3 linked regions of the Macaca mulatta genome follow. The protein of the gene in region 1 interacts with the protein of each later gene in a pairwise test. Links are inferred from orthologs where the notes say so. Each region holds a gene or a part of one and is shown on either strand. Other genes may lie near its edges.

What was found.
Region 2: the proteins of KLRC1 (region 1) and MAL interact in binary tests that used the Homo sapiens proteins (3 or more experiments, as listed by UniProt). The two-hybrid records come from large-scale screens. The link is inferred for Macaca mulatta from reciprocal best matches to the Homo sapiens genes KLRC1 and MAL.
Region 3: the proteins of KLRC1 (region 1) and PMP22 interact in binary tests that used the Homo sapiens proteins (3 or more experiments, as listed by UniProt). The two-hybrid records come from large-scale screens. The link is inferred for Macaca mulatta from reciprocal best matches to the Homo sapiens genes KLRC1 and PMP22.

What each region holds. Positions count from the first base shown.
Region 1 is NC_133416.1:10,113,632-10,121,103, forward strand, and holds the start of KLRC1 (NKG2-A/NKG2-B type II integral membrane protein), read left to right. Parts: upstream 1-2,536; 5' UTR 2,537-2,780; intron 2,781-3,745; exon of another isoform or gene 3,746-3,853; 5' UTR 3,854-3,925; intron 3,926-5,954; 5' UTR 5,955-5,985; coding exon 5,986-6,172; intron 6,173-6,562; coding exon 6,563-6,658; intron 6,659-7,169; coding exon 7,170-7,223; intron 7,224-7,472. UniProt on the Homo sapiens protein: Immune inhibitory receptor involved in self-nonself discrimination.
Region 2 is NC_133418.1:4,386,995-4,394,591, reverse strand, and holds the start of MAL (myelin and lymphocyte protein), read right to left. Parts: upstream 3,876-7,597; 5' UTR 3,791-3,875; coding exon 3,698-3,790; intron 1-3,697. UniProt on the Homo sapiens protein: May be involved in vesicular trafficking from the Golgi apparatus to the cell membrane. Plays a role in the maintenance of the myelin sheath, and in axon-glia and glia-glia interactions.
Region 3 is NC_133421.1:16,751,137-16,758,477, reverse strand, and holds the start of PMP22 (peripheral myelin protein 22), read left to right. Parts: upstream 1-3,520; 5' UTR 3,521-3,668; intron 3,669-5,344; 5' UTR 5,345-5,378; coding exon 5,379-5,456; intron 5,457-6,945; coding exon 6,946-7,045; intron 7,046-7,341. UniProt on the Homo sapiens protein: Might be involved in growth regulation, and in myelinization in the peripheral nervous system.

The sequences.
Region 1 (7,472 bases):
GAAAAAAGAAAATGCTAATACACTATTGGTGGGAATGTAAACTAGACTAACCACTGTGGAAAGCAGTTTGGAGATTTCTCATAATACTTCAAACAGAGCTACGATTTGACCCTCAATTGCACTACTGGGAATATATCCAAATGAAAATAGATCATTATATCAAAAAGATGCACACACACATTTTATCACAGCACTATTCACAACAGCAAAGATATGGAATCAACTTACGTGCTCATCAGTGATTAATTGCATAAAGAAAATGTGGCATATATACTCCATGGACTAGTACACAGCCATAAAAAAGAATAAAACCATGTTCTTTACAGCAACATGGACAGAGCTGGAGGCCATAATCCTAAGCAAATCAATGCAGGAACAGAAAACCAACTACTGAAGGTTCTTACTTATGAGTGGAAACCAAGCACTGAGCACACTTAGACAAAAATATGGGAACGACAGGTACCGCAGACTACTAGAGGGGAGAGGACAGTAGGGAAGAATGGTTCAGAAAACTACCTACTTTGGATTATACTCACTATCCTGGTGTAATATACCCATGTAACAAACCAGCACATGTTCTCCTTGTATCTGAAAATAAAAGTTGAAAGAAAAAAAATTGGAAAAATTCATGTAACAAACCAGCACATGTACTCCCTGTATCTAAAAATAAAAGTTGAAAGAAAAAAAATTGGAAAAATTATCAAGGACAATTGACTGGCCAAAGATTTTTTGAGTAATACGCCACAAGCAGAGGAAACCAAAGCAAAGATGGACAAATGGGATCACGTTAAGCTAAAAAATAAACAAAACCCCCCACAAGATTCTCTTATCTTAGACTTTTGACAATGTGATTATATTGTGCTTCATAATAGTGTTTTTTGGGCTGATCTTGCTTATGATTCATTGAGCTTCATGAATCTGGATTTCCATATCCTTCCCAAGTGAGGAAGGTTTCCAGACAGTATGTCTTTAAAGAAAAAATATTTTTGACCTTTTATCTCTCTCTTCTCCTTCTGAAGTTTCTATACTTTCTATACCATATTCTTGGTGGTGTCTCAAAGGTCTCTTATGCTTTATTTGCCACTTTTTATTCTTTTTTCTTTTTTTACTCTAATTTGTTAATTTTAAATGACTCTTTTTTGAGTTCACTAATTCTTTTGTGTGTTTGAGTCAGGTATTGAAACTCTTTATTGACTTATTTCTTTCTTTCATTGTGTTCTTCAGCTCCAGAATTTTTGTTTGGTTGTTTTTAGTGGCTTATATTTCTTTATTAAATTCTTATTTTGTTCATGTATTTTTGTTTTAGAGTTTTTAGTACTCTCTTCTTTTGCATCTCACTGAGATTTTTAAAGATGATTGTTTTGAATTATCTTAAAGAAAACTTATAGATCTCCATTTATTTGAATCAGTTGCTAAAGCTTTATTCATTTCCTTTGGTGGTGTCATATATGTCTGATGCTTTGTTATTTGTTTATCCTTGTACTGGTGTCTGTGCACTTGAAAGAGCAGACATCTCTTTCAGTCTTTACAGACTGGTTTCGGTAGGTTAAGACCTTCTCCTATTAGGGTCCTGGGCTGATGAGATTGCCTTCAGTGTCATGGTTGAATGGGGTTACAGCCGGATCACATGGTTGCTTATGGGTCCAGAGTGGGATCTTTGGTTCATGATCCTGTTACTAGGGCTTCTAGCAGGCTTGTATCCTCCTTAGTCCCTCAGAGGACCAAACTGGCTCTAGCATCATACTCTATAGGGCTGGGGAGGGAATGAGGGTCCACTTCAGGGTCTGTAGATGGTGGGTCTATTATTAGGTGTGTAGTTGGGGGAGAGTTTATCTAGTTTTCTGGGAAGGCTGCTCATGGGTCTCTGAGTGGGTTCCTCAACCTGTGGCTGAGAGGAGTTAGTGCTAAGTCACAAGGTTTCCTCGGAGTCTATAGCTGAAACCAGTGTCTTCATGTCTGTCTCTGGGGTCATGGATGAGTGTGTTTTCTGGCAGGTATCTGGGCAGGCAAACTTGCTTCAGACTGTAGTTAAGATGGGCTGGAGCTGGATCACAGGATTGTTTCAAGATCTGAAATAAAACTAAGGTCTGTACCTTTAGGGGCACTTATGGTGTCTCTCTCCAGGTCCCTGTGTGGGCAAACTGCTCTCTAGCATAGCTGAGAAGGGTTGAACCCCCTTTTCTGGCCCATTTCAGGATGTGCTGTGAAACCTAGGTCAATGGTCTCCCAGTCGGGACATGGATGCACATGCCCTCCCTCTGTATCCCTGAGCTGGCAAGACTGCTCACAGCCCACAGCTGAGAAGGATGAGGGTCATGATTCAAGGCTGTTTCAGAAACTACCATGGAACTGAAGTCAGCAAGCCTGTACTGCTGCCAAAGATGAGTGAGTCTCACAGCAATTTCCTGTGATTAATTCAGGCCACAGTTGAGAGGAGTTTGAGTGGAGATTCAGGGCCATTTTAATATCTTCTAGAGGACAGAGGTCAGCAAGCATGCCCCAGGGGAACAGATGTGTATGTCTCCCAGGAAGTCTCTGTGGGTGAAAGACTGATCTCAAAAGTTGTGGCTGAGAGTAGCTAAAGCCAAGTTAGAGGGCTGTTTCAGGGTCTACATTGAGACTACAGTTGATATGCCTACCTCCTGAGACACTAGTGTTTGAGTCTCCTCCTGGGCCCCTGGACAGATGGTTTTGGCAGCATGACGAAGTCCTAATGTGGCTGAAGGCAAGTCCACAGGAGGATGGGTCTCTTTTCAGGTCTGGAGATGGAATCACTGTTGGTAAGTCTGCCACTTGGATGCAAATCTATTCTCTAAAGCAACCCTCCTAGGCCTTGGGTTCCACTGGCATTTTACAAACTCCTACTTGAATTCCAAAACTCCCTCAAAGGGAGTTTCCTCCACTTTTGTCTGTGGATGGCTGAAACATTATTGTTGCTGTTGGGGCATATGTGTGGGGGACCACCTATTCTGCCAATTTGCTGACTTTCCTCCTAGTGAGATTTTAAAATTACTTTTTCCCGATACAGAGCTTGCCTTCAGTTTTTGTCATTTACAACTAAATATTTCTATCGAAGTTGAGATAATTTGTTATGGTGGAGAATGGATAAATGAAGAATGTGATGAATAGCTATTTAATATTTCAATCTCTGGTATGCTAATATATTTCAAAATTGATTAATATTTTACCTTTCCAAGATACATTTATTTTCATCAACGGTAATCTGAAGATTAAATAATCTATTTTTTAAAAATTAAATGCAAAAATTTAAGAACTAAGTTAATAACATAACTTTGGCAATGATGGTTTTTGTGTCAGCTACAGTCAACTGAGTAATTACTGCAGTAATTTTTCAGAATAATTAAGGAAAAAATCAGTAGCTATCAGTTGATAATGTTACTATGAGTTTTAGAATGTTTTCTATTATAATGGAGGTGACATAACAAAATAATATAAAGAAAAGAAGTATGCAATGTTAAGATTTAGCAAGCTAGTCTAAAAGGCACTCTTAACAAGGTGAGGATTGGCAATGTTTGTGATCAAAACAGAAAAAAAAATTCTCATAGGCGCTTGAAAAATGGACCAACTAAATGACCCACTTTCAAAGTCAACCTTGTACTTTTAACAGACCAGAGTATCCTATATTTTGGAGGTGTGTGATGAGATTAAACTGATTTCACAATAGCCCATGTGTAGAATTTCCTGTTCAAACCTTAGTAACATGTTGATGAGAAATCTACTTTTTCCACTCTTGACTCACTCTGAGCCTTCACAGGGCAGTCTGCGAAGATTGTAGGCATTGTTTGTTCTTATCCTGGATTTATGCCTTTAAATTTCACCTTTTATTACCCAGCTATAGCAGGCCTTTTTTTGAGACTAACCTGGCCTCTCCACTAAAGGATGTGTGACTTTCTGGGGACAGAAGGTATGTGTTGCTACTCTCCAACTCTCTACTAGCCTACCTCATTTAGTGGGTGATTACAAGTGCTCAATATGGTACAAAGGAGGTATAATTAATATACAGTAAAATCAAAGTAGAATATTGCTGTCTTCATTTGAATAACTCAGGGTAAAAACCATATGAAATATGTTGAAGGATTTCTTAAAGTTTTCAAATTCTTGTTTGTGGAAACCTAGTGGGTTTGTTGATCAATATAATTTAGGTGAAACCTATTAACATCACAATAATGAACAATTAATTTTGTATTTTGTAATCAGTACATCATGTATCTTTGAATAATAATTTATATTTAGCTTAGCCATTAAAAATTATTAAAATAAATGAATCAATTGATGAAAGCCAAATACAGTTCCTCAGACATGTAGATTAAATAAAAGCGTTTTTATTTTTAATAAAAATCACAATGAGGTAGAGTACATAAAATGCTAAAGGTAATACAAAACAATCAAAATACTTTTTTAAAGTTTATCAAAATATTGCAAAAAAAGATGTAGCACACGGATATAGGAGACTTATCTGAAGATTCATTTTCCATTCTTTAACTGACACGAATCAGAAATAGTAACATAACAATTGTGACTAAAATAATAATTAAAATAGCTAATGCTTATTGAGAACTTTAAGTGCCAGGTTGAGTGGTAAATGTTTTACGTGCAACGTTTTATATGTTCTTATTCCCGTCTTAGATTAACAAACTGGGTTATTAAACATAGAATAACTTTTTAAAGGTCACACATTGTAAGTGTCAAAGCTAGAATTCATTCTAGATCTCACTGACTCCAGAGCCCATTGACTAAATGATTTAATTACATTATCTGAAATTTTACAAGTACTTATACAACAAAAGTGGCCTTTACTCACCTTGACAACTGTAAAATCTTTCTATAAGTTTAAATGAAATGTGCTTTAACATGAATTACCTGTACTTTTATTTATCATTTTTTGGTTCATAATTTAGCCAGGAAATAAATTACCAATTACTTATTAAATTACCAATACTTCTATAAGTATTAACAATTTATGTGGTGTTCCTAATACTATTTAGGTTATTCATAAGTTAACAGTGTCACATAGCATTGTCTGACATGTACAAATATTCACATTTGTAATCATTTTTAATAATTTAAATAATTTGTAATAATTTCTTAGAACATTTCAACCATTAAGAAAAGACCATTTAATTACCCCTATTGATTTTTATTAATGTATATAAATTACTAAATAAAAGTAATTTAGTGCAAGAAATTTATATATATGTGTGTGTGTGTATATATCTCAACTTTACTATTACTCATGTGCAGACCACATCGTCTTAACCATTACTGGATTTCAAAATTAACATAAAAAATGAGTGCAGAACTTTTTCTAATACATTTTAATTTTTAATACAGGTAAAGCATCAGACTTTAAGAAATGTATTTTTATTCCTGAACTTCTTTATTCCTTAGTAATTTATTGCTTCTTATTGCCCCAGCAATAATATTTTGTCAAACGTAGAAATTTCTCTCTTTTTTTTTTTTTGAGTCAGAGTCTCACTCTGTCGCCCAGGCTGGAGTGCAGTGGCACGATCTCTGCTCACTGCAACCTCTGCCGCCCGTGTTCTAGCGATTCTCCTGCCTCAGCCTCCTGAGAGTTGGGACTACAGGCGCCTGACATCGTGTCCGGCTAATTTTTGTATTTTTAGTAGAGACGGGGTTTCACCGTGTTAGCCAGGATGGTATGGATCACCTGACCTTGTAATCGGCACGCCTCGGCTTCCCAAAGTACTGGGATTACAGGCATGAGCCACCGCGCCCGACCCAAAAATATATTTTTTAAAACAAATATTTTACCATAAGAAACTTGTTTAGGCTTGAAGAAAATTAGAGAAAGAACTTTAGATTCTTTAATGCAAAATGAGCTCCAATACTCGTTCTCCACCTCACCCTTTTAACTGCACTAGGGAATATTGTATATAAACCATTTATTAACTTCTTAACTACGGTTATTGTAGAGTACAGTCCCTGACATCACACACTGCAGAGATGGATAACCAAGGAGTAATCTACTCAGACTTGAATCTGCCCCCAAACCCAAAGAGGCAGCAGCAAAAACCTAAGGGTAATACAAGCTCCATTTTAGTAACTGAACAGGAAATAACCTATGCGGAATTAAACCTTCAAAAAACTTCGCAGGATTTTCAAGGGAATGACAAAACCAATCACTGCAAAGGTAAAGCATTTAAAAGATCCTCAATATAACAGTCTAGGATGTGCAGCTTGGGGTACAGGGATGTGGGGAAAGAGCAGGGAGTACTCACATGTTTTCTATTTGTAAAGATCAGAATTTCAAGTTGAGATATGCTATTTCAATATAAAATATGAAGACTGATTTAACTCATTGTTGAAATGTGTAGTCTTCGTCAAAGAATTCATGGAGCATTATTTTTACTGAAAATGCAATGGTATATTATTCTGAGAAAAAGATTACAATGGGAGATGAGGGTTTGGGGTCCAAGTTTCTCCGTATGATTCCTGTGCATTCAGGTTCTTTTGTTTTTGAATCTTCTAAATAACTATGTCCACCTCTCCTTTCGCACTGTTCCCATTTCGCTCCCTGCAGATTTACTCTCAGCTCCAGAGAAGCTCATTGCTGGGATACTGGGAATCATCTGTCTTGTCTTAATGGCCTCTGTGGTAACAATAGTTGTTATTCCCTGTAAGTCTATTTTAGAAGATTACAAGGGGAATTTTCACGTTAATGATTGAATGTGCCTCTATACATTTCATATTTTCAGGGAATAGAATTCTCATTGTAATGTATATCTTTGGACTGAATGTGGAATGGTCATTCAGAATTTGTCAAAGAATAAATGAAAGAATAATTGTTGAAAGTATTTGCTTCCGATGCAATTGCATGTATATATTTTGATTTCATAACTCAAAAATATGTTTGAGGAGTCTGAAAAACCTTACTGAGAAATAGAAATTAATTTTTGAAAGTAGTTAAATCAAGAATTATAAGAACCATATGAGAGGGTGAAATTTGGTTCTTTAGATCTATGAAATACTTTTCCAAAAAACCATTATTACTTTATCAAATTTTTCTTAAAATTATTTTTATTCCATATTATTCTAACTCTAACACAAAAAATTTCAAACAAAAACTTAAAATTATTATGATTGATTTAGATGCTAATTTTTAAAAAAGATTACTTTAATTTTTCTAGCTACATTAACACAGAAGCACAACAATTCTTCCCTGAATACAAGAACTCAGAAAGGTATATAATAATTTTTAAAGTTTTAATATTGTACAGTTTACTTTTTCTTGATCTTAGGCTGTACAAAAATAAAATTTGGGGTGAAAAATTATAAAATTTGGCAATAAATGTTCATAAATAAAGATTAGAGTAAGGCATTCCCTTGTCATCAACTGTAAGTAAAATCACTATACTTTGTTTTTATCTATTGTGTTCAAATTCTTATTGCTATAAGATACAAGTTATTTATTGCTCCTTAAAAATCAGATT
Region 2 (7,597 bases), on another chromosome or scaffold:
AAAATTAGGCAGAGTCTTGGAAGGGGCATGAGTAAGGAGGGGTCTTGAACTTAGTTAAACATCATCGGCTTCCCAGTAAATCTGCTCCTGGGGTGTGTAAATTGGAATTACTCTTTTGGATGGCAATGTGGTAACATCTGGGAAAATGACAATGTGCATATCCCCTGTGACCCAACAAGTCACATCCTCCACGTGTTTATGGGAGAAATTTCCAACAGGTAACTACAGAGGCAAATATGAGAATGTTCTTGGCAATGCTGTCTGCAGTAGCTAAAGGCAGCAAATTGGAACTATCCCAAGTGTCTATTAACAGAAGACTGGATAAACAAAGTCAACATGTATAAATCTCAGAACATAATGTTGCCTGGAAAGCATGTTGCAGAAGGATATGTACGGTACGCTGGCATTTTCATAAAGTGTGAAAACGTAAAACAATGCCATGTGTAGGTCATATGTGTGCAGTGAAAGTCTAGACTGTGCTTGGAAGTGAACACCACATTCAGCTTACAGGTGGCCTTGAGGATGGAGGGAGAGAGAGAATAAGATAACAGAAGGATGTCTAGGGGGCTTAGATGCCATCTGAAAGCTTCATTTCCTTAATACATAAAAGCAAACAAGGCAAAATATTAAGATTTGACAAAGTTGGGCAATAATTATATAGGTGTCTGTTAAAGTATTATATATATTCTGTGATATTTGAAATATTTCTATTTTTGTTTTTTAAACTTGAGCGAAATTAACATATCATCAAACCAATCATTTTAAGTTGACAGTTCAGTGGCATTTAGTGCATTCATGGTATTGTGCACCCACCAACTCAATCTAATTCCAAAGCATTTGCATTACCCCCCAAAAGGAAACCCCATAGCCATTAAACAATTGCTCCCCTCGGTGCCTGGTTAACCACCAGGGTTTGTGTTCTGTCTCTACAGATTTATCTATTCCAGATATTTTATATAAATGGAATCATACACTATATGACCTTTTGTGCCTGGTATCTTTTGCTTAGCATAGAGTTTTCAAGGTTTATCAACTTTGTAGCACGTATCAGTACTTCGTTCCTTGCTATGGCCAGGTCGTATCCATCGTTTGGGTGTGTCGCACTTTGTTATTTAGTTCATTGCTGATGGCCACTGGGCTGTGTGTTATTGTGAAGAGTGCTGCTATGAACATGGATGTGCCAATACTAAAGTCCCTGCTTTGAATCCTTTGGTTATATACCCAGGAGTGGAATTGCTGGGTCAGAGGGTCATTTTCTGAGGGAACACCAAACTGTTTTCCACAGTGACTGAACCATTCACATTCCCACCAGCGACATACAAGGGTTCTAATTTCTCCACACCCAATACTTGACGTTTTCCATTTTTTGGATGCTAGCCAGCCTAATGGGTGTGAAGTGGTATCTCATTGTGATTTCTTTCTTTCTATTTATTTATTTAATTTATTTACTTATTTATGTATTTTTTAAGACCAAGTCTCACTCTGTTGCCCAGGCTGGAGTGCAGCAGCGTGATCTTATTGCAACCTCTGCCTCCCAGGTTCAAGCGATGCTCATGCCTCAGCCTGCTGAGTAGCTGGGACTACAGGCATGAGCCACCACGCCTGGCTAAGTTTTTAAAAAAAATTTTTTTATTTTTAGTAGAGACATCGGTCAGTCTGGTCTCGAACTCCTGACCTCAGGCGATCCACCCACCTCAGCCTCCCAAAGTGCTGGGATTACAGGCGTGAGCCACCGCACCTGGCCTCATTGTGGTTTCAATTTTGTTTTCCTAATGCCTGATGATGTTAAGCATCTTTTTATGTCCATATTGGCCATTTGTATATCTTCTTTGTAGAAACCTCTGTTCAAGTCCGTTGCTCATTTTCTAATTGGGTTGTCTTTTTGTTGAGTTGTAATATTCCATAATTTAAAAAAATACCTCCCCCGGGGTGGCCAGCGCCTTCTCAGGCCGTTTAATTCCGCATTCCTTCCACACATCAAATATATACAGCTTCATATTTACAGTCCACACAGAGGAGAACAGAGAGGCTTGGGGCCAGCTTTCTCCTCTTCTCTCCCAGGCACCTGCTAGCCCACCCCTAATCTAGAGCATGAGGAAGACGCCTGGAGGTGACTGTGCGTTGCGGGTCTCCTGGGAAGTGAGGAAGGGAGGTGGGGAACAGGGGTGAGGTGGAGAAGTGACTTTCTAAGTCAGCTGAGAGAAGCGTTCTGGGCGAGGGGGAGTTGTTTGTTCTGGAAGCCCCGTATGGGCAGGCCACAGAGCCACGCTGGCGCTGTCGGAGCAAGCTGCCAGTAGTAGACGGTTCCAAGGTTTCCCACACCCCTGTAGTCTCTGCAGCATTGGTGGGTTGGGTGGGAGCCTCCGGTCACCTTTCCCGCAGATGAGATCGCCCCGTCTCACTGGACTGTTCCTACTCTCAGGGGCACTCCCTCTTGTATGTTGAAGACCAGCGAGGGGCTGGCTCTCTGTGAATGGTGGGGCTGCGTTCATTGGCTTCCCGGGTTTCCTCTAAATGTAACTGCTTTGATTCCGCCTATCCCTAGGATTTAAAGTCACCGGTTCCACCCAGGTTGGGGTTCGACTCGACTTTCACCCCAAGTTCAATGATAGTCCTGCTCCCAGGCCGCCGCAGCGGCCCCTGCCTAGCCTCTGCCCCCAAGCCCTCCTTGGACGAACTGACCCTCCCCCTCCAATCAGGCAATAACAACCTGGGGTCCAATTTTTAAACAGCCAGGCTCCGACATTTTCTTTCCCCTCCAACTCTCCACGCCTGTGCTTCTGAGGGTGGGGTGCCGGAAAAGGTGTCCCTGAGGCGGCGACGGACCGCACCCACAGAATATACAGGGCACACCCCTCCCAGGTGAGGGCCAGCGGGCCCCGGGGAGTTGAGGCTGAGGGAGGTCACTTCGGCCTCGCGACGCCTTGAGCGTTTATCAGGAGTTCTCAGTAGGAAGCGCTTTCCCGCAGCCTCAGGCAGAGACCGTGCGCGCAAGGCGGGACCGACCGCAGGTGCAGAGGCCCCGGAGCTGCCCAAGGTCAGCCAGGGCACGCGGATCGCTCTCGCCGGCCCCCCAACCCCCGTCTCCTCCACTCCCACCCCACACACGGGGCAGAAGGACTGCGGCCGCGCAAACTAGGACCTCATTTCCAGATCGAATTGGTCGCAAATACGTCCCCTCGCCAGAAACTGTAAAAGGCCAGAAGAAAATAAACCGGATTCAACTCCCTCTCATCTCCAGATCTCGGTTGGTAACACTAACGTTTCTTTTGCTGATTTTTTTTTTTTCCGACACTATCTCCCTTCAAAACGCTGCGCACTTCTACCCAACCGCGCAAAGCGCGGCGTGAGCTTCGGCGGCGCCGGGCGCATCTGGAGGGCCCCGAGCGCAGCTCTGGGACCAGCGCACCAAGAGCCGTCCCCGCCTGACCCGCTGCCAACATCCGACCCCGGTTGGGAACCCGGTTTTTCCTCCATAGTCCTGTAGACTGTTTCCCTCATTCCGTTGGTCTAGAAGGGGACAAACGACCGGAGGTGGGAGGGGGCTTCCCTGGCTTAGTCCCCGCCCTGTCCCTGCTGCCCCGATGCTCCCGGGACCTGCGGAGCTAGCGGATCCAGTCCGAGAGCTGTGCTGGGCGCCCGAGAGAGCGCACGGCTCAGCATCCCCCAGTCCCTTCCCTGGCCAGGAGTCACTCACAAACTCAAAGATGAAGAGCAAGTCGGGGAAGGTGGTGAAGACCGAGAAGCCACTGGGCAGGGTGCTGCCCCCCGACGCCGCTGCGGGGGCCATGAGGGCGTGCTGGCGTGGGCCTCGGGACTGGACGCGCGCCGCTCAGACTGCGCGCAGACCTCTCGCTTGCTCCGCGGAGCCCAGTGGCCTGGGCGCCCCCGCGCGCGGGTTAAGAGCAGGGGAGCCCGAGCAGAGGAGGGAGGAGCCCAGGCCGCCGCCCAGCTCCGCCCCCAGCCCCACGCCCCGGCAGACCCGGCCCGAGCGCCGCGGGCACCGCCCTGAACCTCCTCGAGGGCCCGCTGCGGGCGTGCAGAGCTGGGGACGGTGGACCTGACTCCTGCGTTCCAGCCGTGGGTGGCACCTCTTGTGGGAAGCAGGGCAAAACCACTTTGGTCAGGGGCTCCTCATGCCTTTCTCGCTTCGTAGGTGACCAGTATCTCCTAAGAATGTTAACCATCAGTAACCGGGACCCCAAACCCACCAAGGCACCCCTCGGGTCACCATTGCTCTAACTTTGAATTTGGGTCTCCTTCATTTTGCCGCTGGATGCGTTAATGTGCGCGACCCACAGCTCCAGGCGGCGGTTTCCTGGCGGAACGGGACCGCCGCCACAGCCTGGGGGTCTGCAGTGGGGGCTGGGACCAGCCCCGGCCGCCGGCCCGTTCCGCGTACCCCGAGCCGGCGCTGGTTCGGCGCTGGGAACGTGCACCGGGGCCTCTGTACTTGGCGCTGCGCGCCTGCCTGAGGGAAGAAGGTTGCTCCCAGCTGTGCCGGCCCCAGCAGAAGGCTGCTGGTGGTGGTGCTGGGGCAGGTCTGCCTTGGTTCCATGGGACAGGAAGGGACGTTACCAGAAGAGATTCATCTCTTTCTCTTGGTCTGGGCAGCCCGGGCCTTTGGAGGGTGGGACCGCTGCTACCTCCACCCGCATGTTCTTTGCTGCCTGTTGACTGCCAGTGTTTCCTGTTTTGTTTCTCTGTTTCACTATCTATTACTTTTTGCCTTAAAAAAAAAAAAAAAAAAAAAAAAAACAAGTATTACTATACAGCAGTTGCCTATTTATTTTAATTTACTATTAATAGTGGATTGCTGTGTTTCCTCCTACAAACACTGAAGCCTGAAATCCGCCCCCGTCCGGATTCTCTCCTGCCAAGAGGGAATTGTCCCCGCAGCCTCCAGCTCAGACTCCCAACCCTTCTTTCTTTTCACTGGCAGCTGCTGCAGGCAGGACAAGGGGCTCCCCTCTCTCCAGTGGGGCCCTCATCTCTCCCTGCTGCACAATTCTTCCTCCTTCCCAGTCCCTAGGGAGAGAAGTACATTCGTGGACGCATTTTCCAAAGAAAAGTAGCGCTCCCATCAGCTGGCCATTCTAAAGCGCCTCTGGAAAGGGGCCAGGCATTTGAAATGAGAAAACCCCGCTGTGCCTCTGAGAGAGCTGCTAGCTCGGATGGCTGCAACCAAGTTCACTGTGTCGGGTCCCCAGGGCAGCATCTCTCTGGGCACAATGGGCTGTGGGACTTCAGAAGCCCAGGTCCTCACCCACCGTGGGCATCTCATAGCTCGCTAGTTGGACCTGCTGGCCTCTGAGAGGACATCTTCTTCCTCCCCAGGAGACCGTCCTGGGAACAAGCCTTAAAGCAAGGTGGCTACAGGAAGCCGCAGCCTGCAGTGGGGGGTGAGATGACCCTCGGGCAGTCCAGCGAAAGCAGCTTGGAAATTTCCCATCAGCACACACTAATTAAAAACAAGAAGATCCTATCAACTCCTAATAATGTCCTTGCCTGGTCTGGAGGGGTTTTGTCTGTAGTTTGGTTTGGTATTTTGCTACTTCTTTCACGCCTCTGTTGCTAACTCTTCCCACTTGGGCCTGAGCCTTTGGGGAAAGCTCACTCCAGGGGCAGCTCAGTCGAGCTCAGCAGTCCCAGCCCTCCTTTGATAAGGCAGAGGGGCGGCAATCTCTGAAAGAGGCTTCAGAGGATGAGGAGGGCAGCCCGGCCAGGGTCAAGCGAGTTTGTCCCTATCTCTGTGACTCCTTCCTTCCACTGGAGTTCTCCGCCTGATGTTCATCTTCATGACTAGACTCTACCCTCCGCAGGGCGTCCTCCAACCACCCCCATCTGCCTCTCTCCTTCCCCACCCTAGCATATCCTCAGCCCCAAGCCGAACCCAACCTCTGGTGAGTGCTCGATGCTGGATGGCTCCAGCCTTGTCTGTGCTTGACCACCAGAGGAGGACATGTAAGTGCCCTGTTTGGATGTAAGAAGCACTGGTAAGGAGTGAGGCACTGGTAATAGAGAGGCATTGGTAAGAGAGAGGCATTGGTGAGAGAGAGGCATTGGTGAGAGAGAGGCATTGGTAGGCTTCCCCAGGTGCTCTAGGTCACCTGCTGATGAACGAAAGGCATTGGTGAGAGAGAGAGAGAGAGAGAGAGAGAGAGAGAGAGAGAGAGAGAGAGACATTGGTAAGAGAGAGGCATTGGTGAGTAAAGATGGGCCTGTCTTCATTTCCCAGCACAGCTTCCCCACGTGCTCTGGGCCACCTGCTGATCAATGTGGTGGTTGATACTTATCAGAAGCCCAGGACCATATTTTGGTTTCCAGCAGGATATGAAAAAATAACTTCAGCCAGTAGTAACTCAGTGAGTGTCCTCAGTCTTCCCAGTGGGTGTGAATAAGAGGGTGGATCTGGGGCTTCTGTCAAATATTAACTTGGCCTTGGGCGGGTTTCCACAAAGTAGGAATTGGAAAGTTGCCATTGCAGAGCCAGCCTGGGGAAGGAAGAGGTTACCTCCAGCTTGTGTGTGTTCAGGGGGAGGGAGGAGATTGTGGGGAGAGGGATGTGTTTAGGGAAAGATTAATGGGGCAGGAGTTGCCCATTCATAATAGCAGGTGCATTGGTTTTTGAGGTAGGTAAGATGACTCCCATTTTACTGATGAGGTAACAGAGGCTCAGAAGTGTTAAGTAGCTGCCCAAGGACACAGAACTGCTGAGCACCTTGAACCTGAGTGACACTGCACCTCTAAAGCTTCGAACCCTCGATGAAAACCCTGCTCAAGATTAGCAATTGCCATTCAAATGCCAGTTCCATGCAGACATCGGCAGCCTCCCAAATCCAGTCTTCATGGTCATCTCAGGCGTGGCCCTGGGCACCTGCCCTGGTGGACAGGGCTTGGGACCTTCACCTCTGGGAACAGAAGGTAGTGGGGGTCGTCATCCCCATTTATGGATGCCGAGGCTGGGTGCAGACATGAGTTCAGAGAGCTACCCTGAACCCACACTTATCCCTAGGGATTTTATTTGTCTCACAGACACAGTCACCCACAGCCCTGGGTTCCATCGAAGGCGTGAAGCAGTGAGGGCACCTGCTGGTGGATGGGGGAATGGCAGCCTCAGCTGCCTTGGCCTCAGTGCAGGAGGGGAATCTGTTACTAAGGGCCTGCTAAGTCCCAGCACTGCCACAGGCACTTTGCCTGCATGGCCTCATTTAATCCCACAGAGCCTTGCCGGCAGGTGTCACCCACCATACAGGCTAGCGATGGGAGTTAATGTGCCCAGACCACATGGCTGGTGACCAGGCCTCTTGATTCCAGCAGGCAGGCTCTGTGTCTACTGCACAAATCCACAAACTGGAAAATCAGAAGTGGTGGCTGCTCACCAGGGCACTGTCCTCTGACGGGCCACGGGCTCCGTGTGCCCACTGCCTCCAGGGACAATGATCTGCATGAGCTCTTTTCCCCACCCTCTTGTAGGATCATGTTTTCTAGAACCAGGGAGATGTGGCACAACAGGCTGGCATTGTCTGGGTGTCTTGTGGATGGGGATGGAGGGTAGAGGGTATGTGAGTAGGAAAGACAGAGTCCCTGCTCCCTA
Region 3 (7,341 bases), on another chromosome or scaffold:
GGAGTGGGTACGCTTCAAAGAACCTAAAAATGCCATAACTTCCTTTACCTCCCTCTCCAAGAATTTCCAATTGCGCTTCCAGCCTATCCTGCCTGACAGGTTAGAAAGCTTTCAGTAGAGGTTCGTTTACTTACACTGAATTATCTCATGAAGGTCAGCTTGATGAGGGCACATTAAAGACAGAGGCGGAAGAACCCATTTCCCTAAGTTTTATTCTAATGTACAACACATGTGATCATTTGCGATGGGGTCTAGGCAGACAGAGCAGGCAACAGAGAGTCTTTCCAACCAGGGATTGGAGCAAAGCAGGCTTGATTTGGTGACTCCTGAGACATTTGGCTCACTGCTGTGATGCTGTGAGAGATTAGCTGTGCAATGTTTGGGCCCCTTAAAATGATGTTTATTTAAAATAAAACTTACCTGCACATACGTAACACTGTAGACACAGATCCTTCACACAGTATATTTAATCTCTGCAAAATTCACTGGGAGGGGAGGGGAGCCAGTGGGGCCTCTTGGGTATTACACAGGTTGGCACTTCCAGAGAGAACAGCCTTGGCATCACAGACTTCAGGCATACTCAAAGCTCTTCTCCCTTCTGATTCCAGTTTCTCCATGCCCTGCAGGGCCTCTTGGGATCACTGTATTCTGGAAAGCACACAAAGTTGGACACTGTCTCTTTAAATAATAGAGGCTGAGAACCTCTCAGGCCACCATGACATATCCCAGCATTGGACCAGCCCCTGAATAAACTGGAAAGACGCCTGGTCTGGCTTCAGTTACAGGGAGCACCACCAGGGAACATCTCAGGGAGCCTGGTTGGAAGCTGCAGGCTTAGTCTGTCGACTGCGGGTCTCTGGCTGTCCTGTGGGGAGGGCCTTGCCTTAGCATCCCTTGCATTTGACTGCAAAGAAATCCGCTTGGAAGAAGGGGTTACGCTGTTTGGCTGGGTGAGTTTTATTGGCAACCTGTGCCTCTGGGTGATGCATGCCTATGCTTTACAAGAATTGCCTAATTCCCCACCCCCTGCAAGCTGCAAATGAAAAGGATTGCAGGAGAGATGGTGCATTTGTGTTGGAATTGACTGGACATTCAGGGGTTTTTTTATATCCTTGGTTAAGAGGTGGATATACACTCTGGCTGGGGAGGTGGGGGGCCATCTGAGAGCATCTAGAAACCCTAATGCATCCAGATTGAAAGGAAGAAAGGAATCTAGATGCTTCTTCCCCCATGGAAAATAGCTGTTCACACACACCCGGCAGGCGGCCTTGGTAAGCAGGTTAGGGAGAAGCTGCCACCTGTGGCAGAGCCTTGACCAGCCAGGCTCTGGGTGTGGCAAGCCTGGTCAGCAGGCACTGAGTAGCATTTCCTCTCCCACCATTGAGAGCCAGGCAGGAGACCAGAGGCAGTGAGGGACAGATGGGTTGGGTTTACCTGTCTGGCAGCGTATGGTGTTGCTGTGACCTGGGTGGTTATTGATTAAACTATTGGGTTCAAAAGAAAGGAAGAAGCGACCTGTAACACCCAATATGTACACTTTTTTTGTATGTGTATTAGACTTTATTAAAAAGTTTATTTGAAAATCACAAAGGAAGGGAAGGAAAATCCTGAGTTAGATTTGCTAATATTTGTAAAGTGCTTACTTAGAACTGTCCTGAGTACGTAGTAATCACAAAAATGTTGGTTAAATAAATAAATGTCCAAACAGCATAAAACAAAGTAATAATTTCTAGAGCAAATCTAACCTATAAAATGACCCATGGAGGAAAGAAAACACTTCCAGGTCTTTAGACATTTTTTTTCTACTTGCCTATGCACTTTCATTTATAAATATCTATCAATCTATCGATCTACCTGTCTATCGATCGATCGATCGACCTACGAATCAGAGTTACAAGCTACTTTCATGCAGAGGTGGTCAGGTCTTCCCTGAAGAGTTGATGTGAGAGTTAAATGTGATATAACAATAGTGGTGGCAATTTGGGCACTGGGCCCTTATTATGTTGCAGACACGATGTTAACTGCTTTGTACATATTGTCTCCTTCAATCATCACCATAAACCTTTAAAGCAGGCATTACTAGTTCCTTTTGCATCTGAGAAAACTGAAGCTCACTGAACTTCAGAAATTGTCCAAACTCACAACAAAAGTAAGCAAGGTGATTAGGTTTGTTGGAGCCCAGAGACAGAATGCCTAACCACTGCCTCTCACAGACCATGCATACAAAAGTCCAGACAAAGTGCCTGGCGTGTAATGGGAACTGTAAATACAATTTACAAGTACACTTCATTTTAATCTGATAACATGAGAGTTTTAAAAAGATCACCGTTTGAAGACTTTTTCAAATTTATTTTTACTTACAGTAAGAATATACAATTAGCTAAAGTAGCAGCTCCTTTCAAATTGTAAATTAATATAGAATTATTTGAATCATTGAGAGGGATGAGCTTCTATGACACAGTACACTAGAGGTAGGGAAGTGTGTGTGTGTGTGTGTGTGTGCGCGCGCGCGCGCGCGTGTGAACTGCTGCATTTTCAGGCAAAGACCTTTAACATCCACATTCCTGCTCCCCGTCTTGTGCATCAAGGCTGGCCTGCGCACGGGAGTCTCATTGGGCGCGCCTCTGCCAAGCGGAGACTGAAGGGCTAGCCTCTCTCCCTGTAACGCTGGGCGGGTCACGTTAGGAGGCTATGAATCAGCTGATTTCCTTGGCTGCTCCAACCCCACCTCAAATGGCCACCTCGCACCCGCCCCCTAAACCCCATGGCCAGGACGCCAGCCAAGGCTGACAGCCAAGCCCGACTGCTGCAGGAACACTTTGCCTGAGCTTATTCGGTGGTAGTCTGGTTTTGCCCAGGCTAGGAGGAGCCCAATCCCAGACCACGCTATCCGGTAGTCGCCGGACTTTTCTTTCCCTAATTCGCACTCAAGCAGAGCCCGCTAGATCAATCCCTGCCAATCCTAGGAAGCCGGCATGCTTGGTAGGTGCAGACAGTAATAGCGGGGACCGACGAGGTGCAGGTGTGCCCGGCTAAGACGCCAGGACAGGGCAGGGGCTCCAGGACCCGAGAAGAGAGGGACTTCCTTCAGCGCTCAAGCGCCCGCTGCCCTCTGTTAATGGGAGTGGAATCCAACCTCAGCCCCGCGCGGGCGCGGTCGGCGTCGGCGCGCCCCGAAGCCCATCCTTGGGCATCCGCGGAGCTACATTTGGCTGAGTCTTCCCAGGGTGGGCTGAGGAGCCAGTTTCTCGGTCAACACTAGGTTTCCATGATCTCCACGGGGCCGGGGGAGGAGGGAGGTGGGAGGTGAGAAAGCTCGGCCGCCTCTGGTTTCGAGTAAAAGTCGCCGCGATTTTGCAGAGACCAACTTTTCCCTGAGGCGCATTTAAGGCCAAGTTAACTGTCTCCTGCCCTCCCTCTCTCCTGCCCTCTCTCCTCCCTGAGTCCCGCCCTCCCGCACACGCTGACCCAGGGACACACCCTACTGCAGCGACGCAAACAGGGCGTTGTTCCCGTTAAAGGGGAACGCCGGGAGCCTCCCACTGCCCCCTTGCTTCGCGCGCGCGCAGCCCCGCAGCGCAGCTTTGACCGCGCCGGCAGCGGAGCCAACGCACCCGAGTTTGTACTTGAGGCCACCCTGAGGATCGGGACAGCTGTTCCTTTGGGCTGTAAGTGATTTGGTGGGGACAGTGAAGGAGATGGAGGAGAAATGTGGGCATCTTCCAGTGAGGGTGTCAGAAGGCGCAGAGCAGGCGCGGGGCTTTGGCCAGCTCCCTGGAGCTTCTGTTTAGGGGCACAGGGTCCCTTGTGTGTCCTGTTCCCTTCCAATGGGGCTTGGCGTAATACAACGAGGGGAGCCTTTATGGTCTGTAAGACCTTACAGGGCAAGGGTGATGGTGCTGGTGTCTGGATAGAGGATAAGGGCGTCTCAGTTTTCGCCTTGCTGAAGAGGCGTTGACTCCGGGACACAGTGGCAAAACAGCCCCTGTGGCGGACATCCCGAGAGTGCTGGACTCTTGTGGCTCCCCAGTTCCCAGCCTCATGCCATCTGAGGTTTAATTCAAACCCTCTGGGAGTCATCAGAAATCCTTGTTTATTTCTTCCAGCGCATTCCAGTGTCTTTGAATGTGATGCTTGTGGAGAGAAACGGAGGGGCCTGAGATTGGGTACTTTCCAAACTGGGTTATTGAAACGTTGTTTCCCTGGCCCAAGACTCTGCCTGAAATGGTCCCCAGAGTCTCAGTCAGATCTTCCACAGCCATGCATGTCCTCTAACAAGTCATCCCAGCCTTCACTGCCCCCAAAGTCTAAAATGAGGGGCGAGGACCGCATTACTTGGGATAGATGGCCTGCCAGCTCTGACCGGCTGAAATTATCGGACTCGGCCTTTTACTCTGTCTCTCTCTCCCATCCGCTGGACATCTACTCCCTTCGGTCCAGGCTCCTGGGCTCCTGTCCCACCGCGCCCAGACCGGAGCTCAGTCTTGATGGGGTCCGTGTCCTGGCTTTGAGTGCCTGGGGTGCAGACTGGACCCCTAGGCGAGCATGCGGGTCTAGCGCAGGAGCAGAATGCCCCCTGCCCCCAGGAGTCTCAGTTGGGCGCGCCTGGGGAAGCGCGCGGTGGACGGGAAGCGCAGGGTCCGGGCAACCCTCCCGAGCCATTTTTCCTTTCCACACTCCTCTGGCTCTGCACCGCCTCTCCGGAGCCGCCAGAGTCTGCGCGAGGCTGAGCTGGGGCCAGGACGGTTCCTCTACGCTGGCAGAATTGGGTGGAAACTTGGAGACGAACGGAATGCGGAGAGCACTGGGGTCTGGGAAACCAGCCTCCTCGCTGCTCTCTCTCCCAGCGCATGTCACGGGTATCTCCAGGTCTATCACGGAAATCTGGGCGCCTACTCCCCTCACCCCTACCTCCACCCCGTAGGCGAATTCACAATCTGAACTGGGGTCTCGGAGAACGGGACCTCTCCCCTTACAGGGCGGTCTCCGGGAGGCGCTCGGGGTGGGTGGAAGCGTGCAGTGGCCTCTGGTCATATTTTCTGGAAACCCCTCTATTCCCTGGGTGTTTTTAGACGTGCGAACCGCTTGTTTTGTTTCTAAAAGCAAAGATGTTCCGTTGCAGGCGGGTCCGGCTGGGCGCTGGACGCTGGGCGCTGGTCCTGCAGGAGGCTGCTGCCCCCTCTCGGCGGCAGGCGGCGCGAAGGCTCCTGACCCGCGCGGGCGGGCGGGCTGCGGGCGCTGGGCCAGGCCGGGCCTCACGCTAGTGCGCGGGACCCTCCCTCTGCGCGCGCCTCCCTCGTTCGGCCCAGTGCGTTCGGCCTCACGCCCAGCGCTCTCCCCACAGGCAGAAACTCCGCTGAGCAGAACTTGCCGCCAGAATGCTCCTCCTGTTGCTGGGTATCATCGTCCTCCACGTCGCGGTGCTGGTGCTGCTGTTCGTCTCCACGATCGTCAGCGTGAGTGCCTGGCTGGGAGGCTCCCTGCGCGGCCCGCTCTTCCCTATCTGGGTTCCCAGCCCTTGCTCCTTCTGGTTCAGGACTGTGTTATTTGCAGACAGTTGGAAGTCTCAGACGTCCCAGGGAAGTTTCTGGCAATCTGCCCCCTTCCAGTTGCTTTGAGAAAACGAGAGCAGATTCAGTGATAGAAACGAAGCGAGCGCTGGGCTGGGTTAGGTGCGCAGGTCTCTATTTAAGCCAAATAACTTCACAGCAGATCTAGGGGCCCCGACCTTCATTTGATAAGATTGTTTAACTTTTTTTTTTTCTTGATGCAGCCTCATTGAAGAAGAGGGGTATTTATGGATTTTTTTTTAATCCAAACCGTAGTCAGATGGGTGAATTAATTTATAAAACACCCTTTTAGGACTTGAAATTGGAAAGTTAAAATGGGCTTTTCTGGAAAAGAGTTCACTGGTCCCATGTCGCCTTTACGTCATGAACACAACGCCTTGTTAGTAAAGCTTCCACTGATAGAAACAGGCCATCAGAGTAACTTATGTTACAAAACTGTCCAACCCATGAGATCTTAAAGTTATTTTCTTGGCGATGAAGATGAGCAGACATTCAGGCAGTTTTCCTATGGTGGCTTTCACTTCTTAATTTAAGGCACATTGTAAGCCTGATTTTCTTTTTCTTTTTCTTTTTAATTTTTCTTTTCTTTTTTTTTTTTCTTTTTTTTTTTTTTTTGAGACGGAGTCTCGCACTGTCGCCCAGGCTGGAGTGCAATGGCGTGATCTCAGCTCAGTGCAACCTCTGCCTTCCGGGTTCAAGCGATTCTCCTGCCTCAGCCTCCCGAGTAGCTGGGATTACAGGTGCCTGCCACCACACCTGGCTCATTTTTATTTTTATTATTTTATTTTTAGTAGAGACGGGGTTTCACTATGTTGGCCAGGCTGGTCTCGAACTCCTGACCTCATGATCCGCCCGCCTCCGCCTCCCAAAGTGCTGGGATTACAGGCGTGAGCCACTGTGCCCGGCCTGTCAGCATGATTTTGTAGTCTCTGTGAGAGATAATTATGTTGGGGATTTGTGACTTGGTTTAACATTTACAAGCATCTTCACAGTATCTCCATGGTGCCTGGTGATGATAACATCAGATTGATAGGAGCTGTATACAAGGAACTAGACTCAGAGAGAGGGGCTTGGGGAATGATCCCCAGGGATGCTGGGAGGAGAGAAGGCTTGAATGCAGGTGTCTCAGGTTGAGTTCATGGCTCCTTCTACTATAGTAAACATCTCTGCACATAATCGTTTCCGTGTGCATGGAGAACTTTTCCATTTACAACGTGCTTTTAAGTCATAAAACGTTGGCTGTTACCATGCAGGGGTGGGCGGGGTAGCTAGGTGCATCAGGGTGCTTTTCGCCATCCCTGGGCCTTTCTCCTTCCCCTTTTCCTTCACTCCTCACTCCCTCCCTGACTCAGGATATCTATCTGATTCTCTCTAGCAATGGATCGTGGGGAATGGACATGCAACTGATCTCTGGCAGAACTGTAGCACCTCTTCCTCAGGAAATGTCCACCACTGTTTCTCATCATCACCAAACGGTGAGGCTGGTTTTGTGCTCCACGAGCTTGTCCTCGGATGCCTGTAACACATTTCTCAGTCCAGAGCTGGAAACGCTTATTGGAAGACACAAGCCAGAATGCTGTTGCTGGAGTGGGTTGGGATGTGACGGGAAGCCATGAGTCCAAGGCAAATGGGAGGGGTGGTGATCTCACTGGGGAAGCTGAGATCCTGGGCATGATTATGGTTCACTCTATCTAGAGACATGCCCTTAGCGCCCTCCTGATCACTTAGGATAATGCTTTTTGTGATTTAAAAAAAAAATGTCGACATGGGA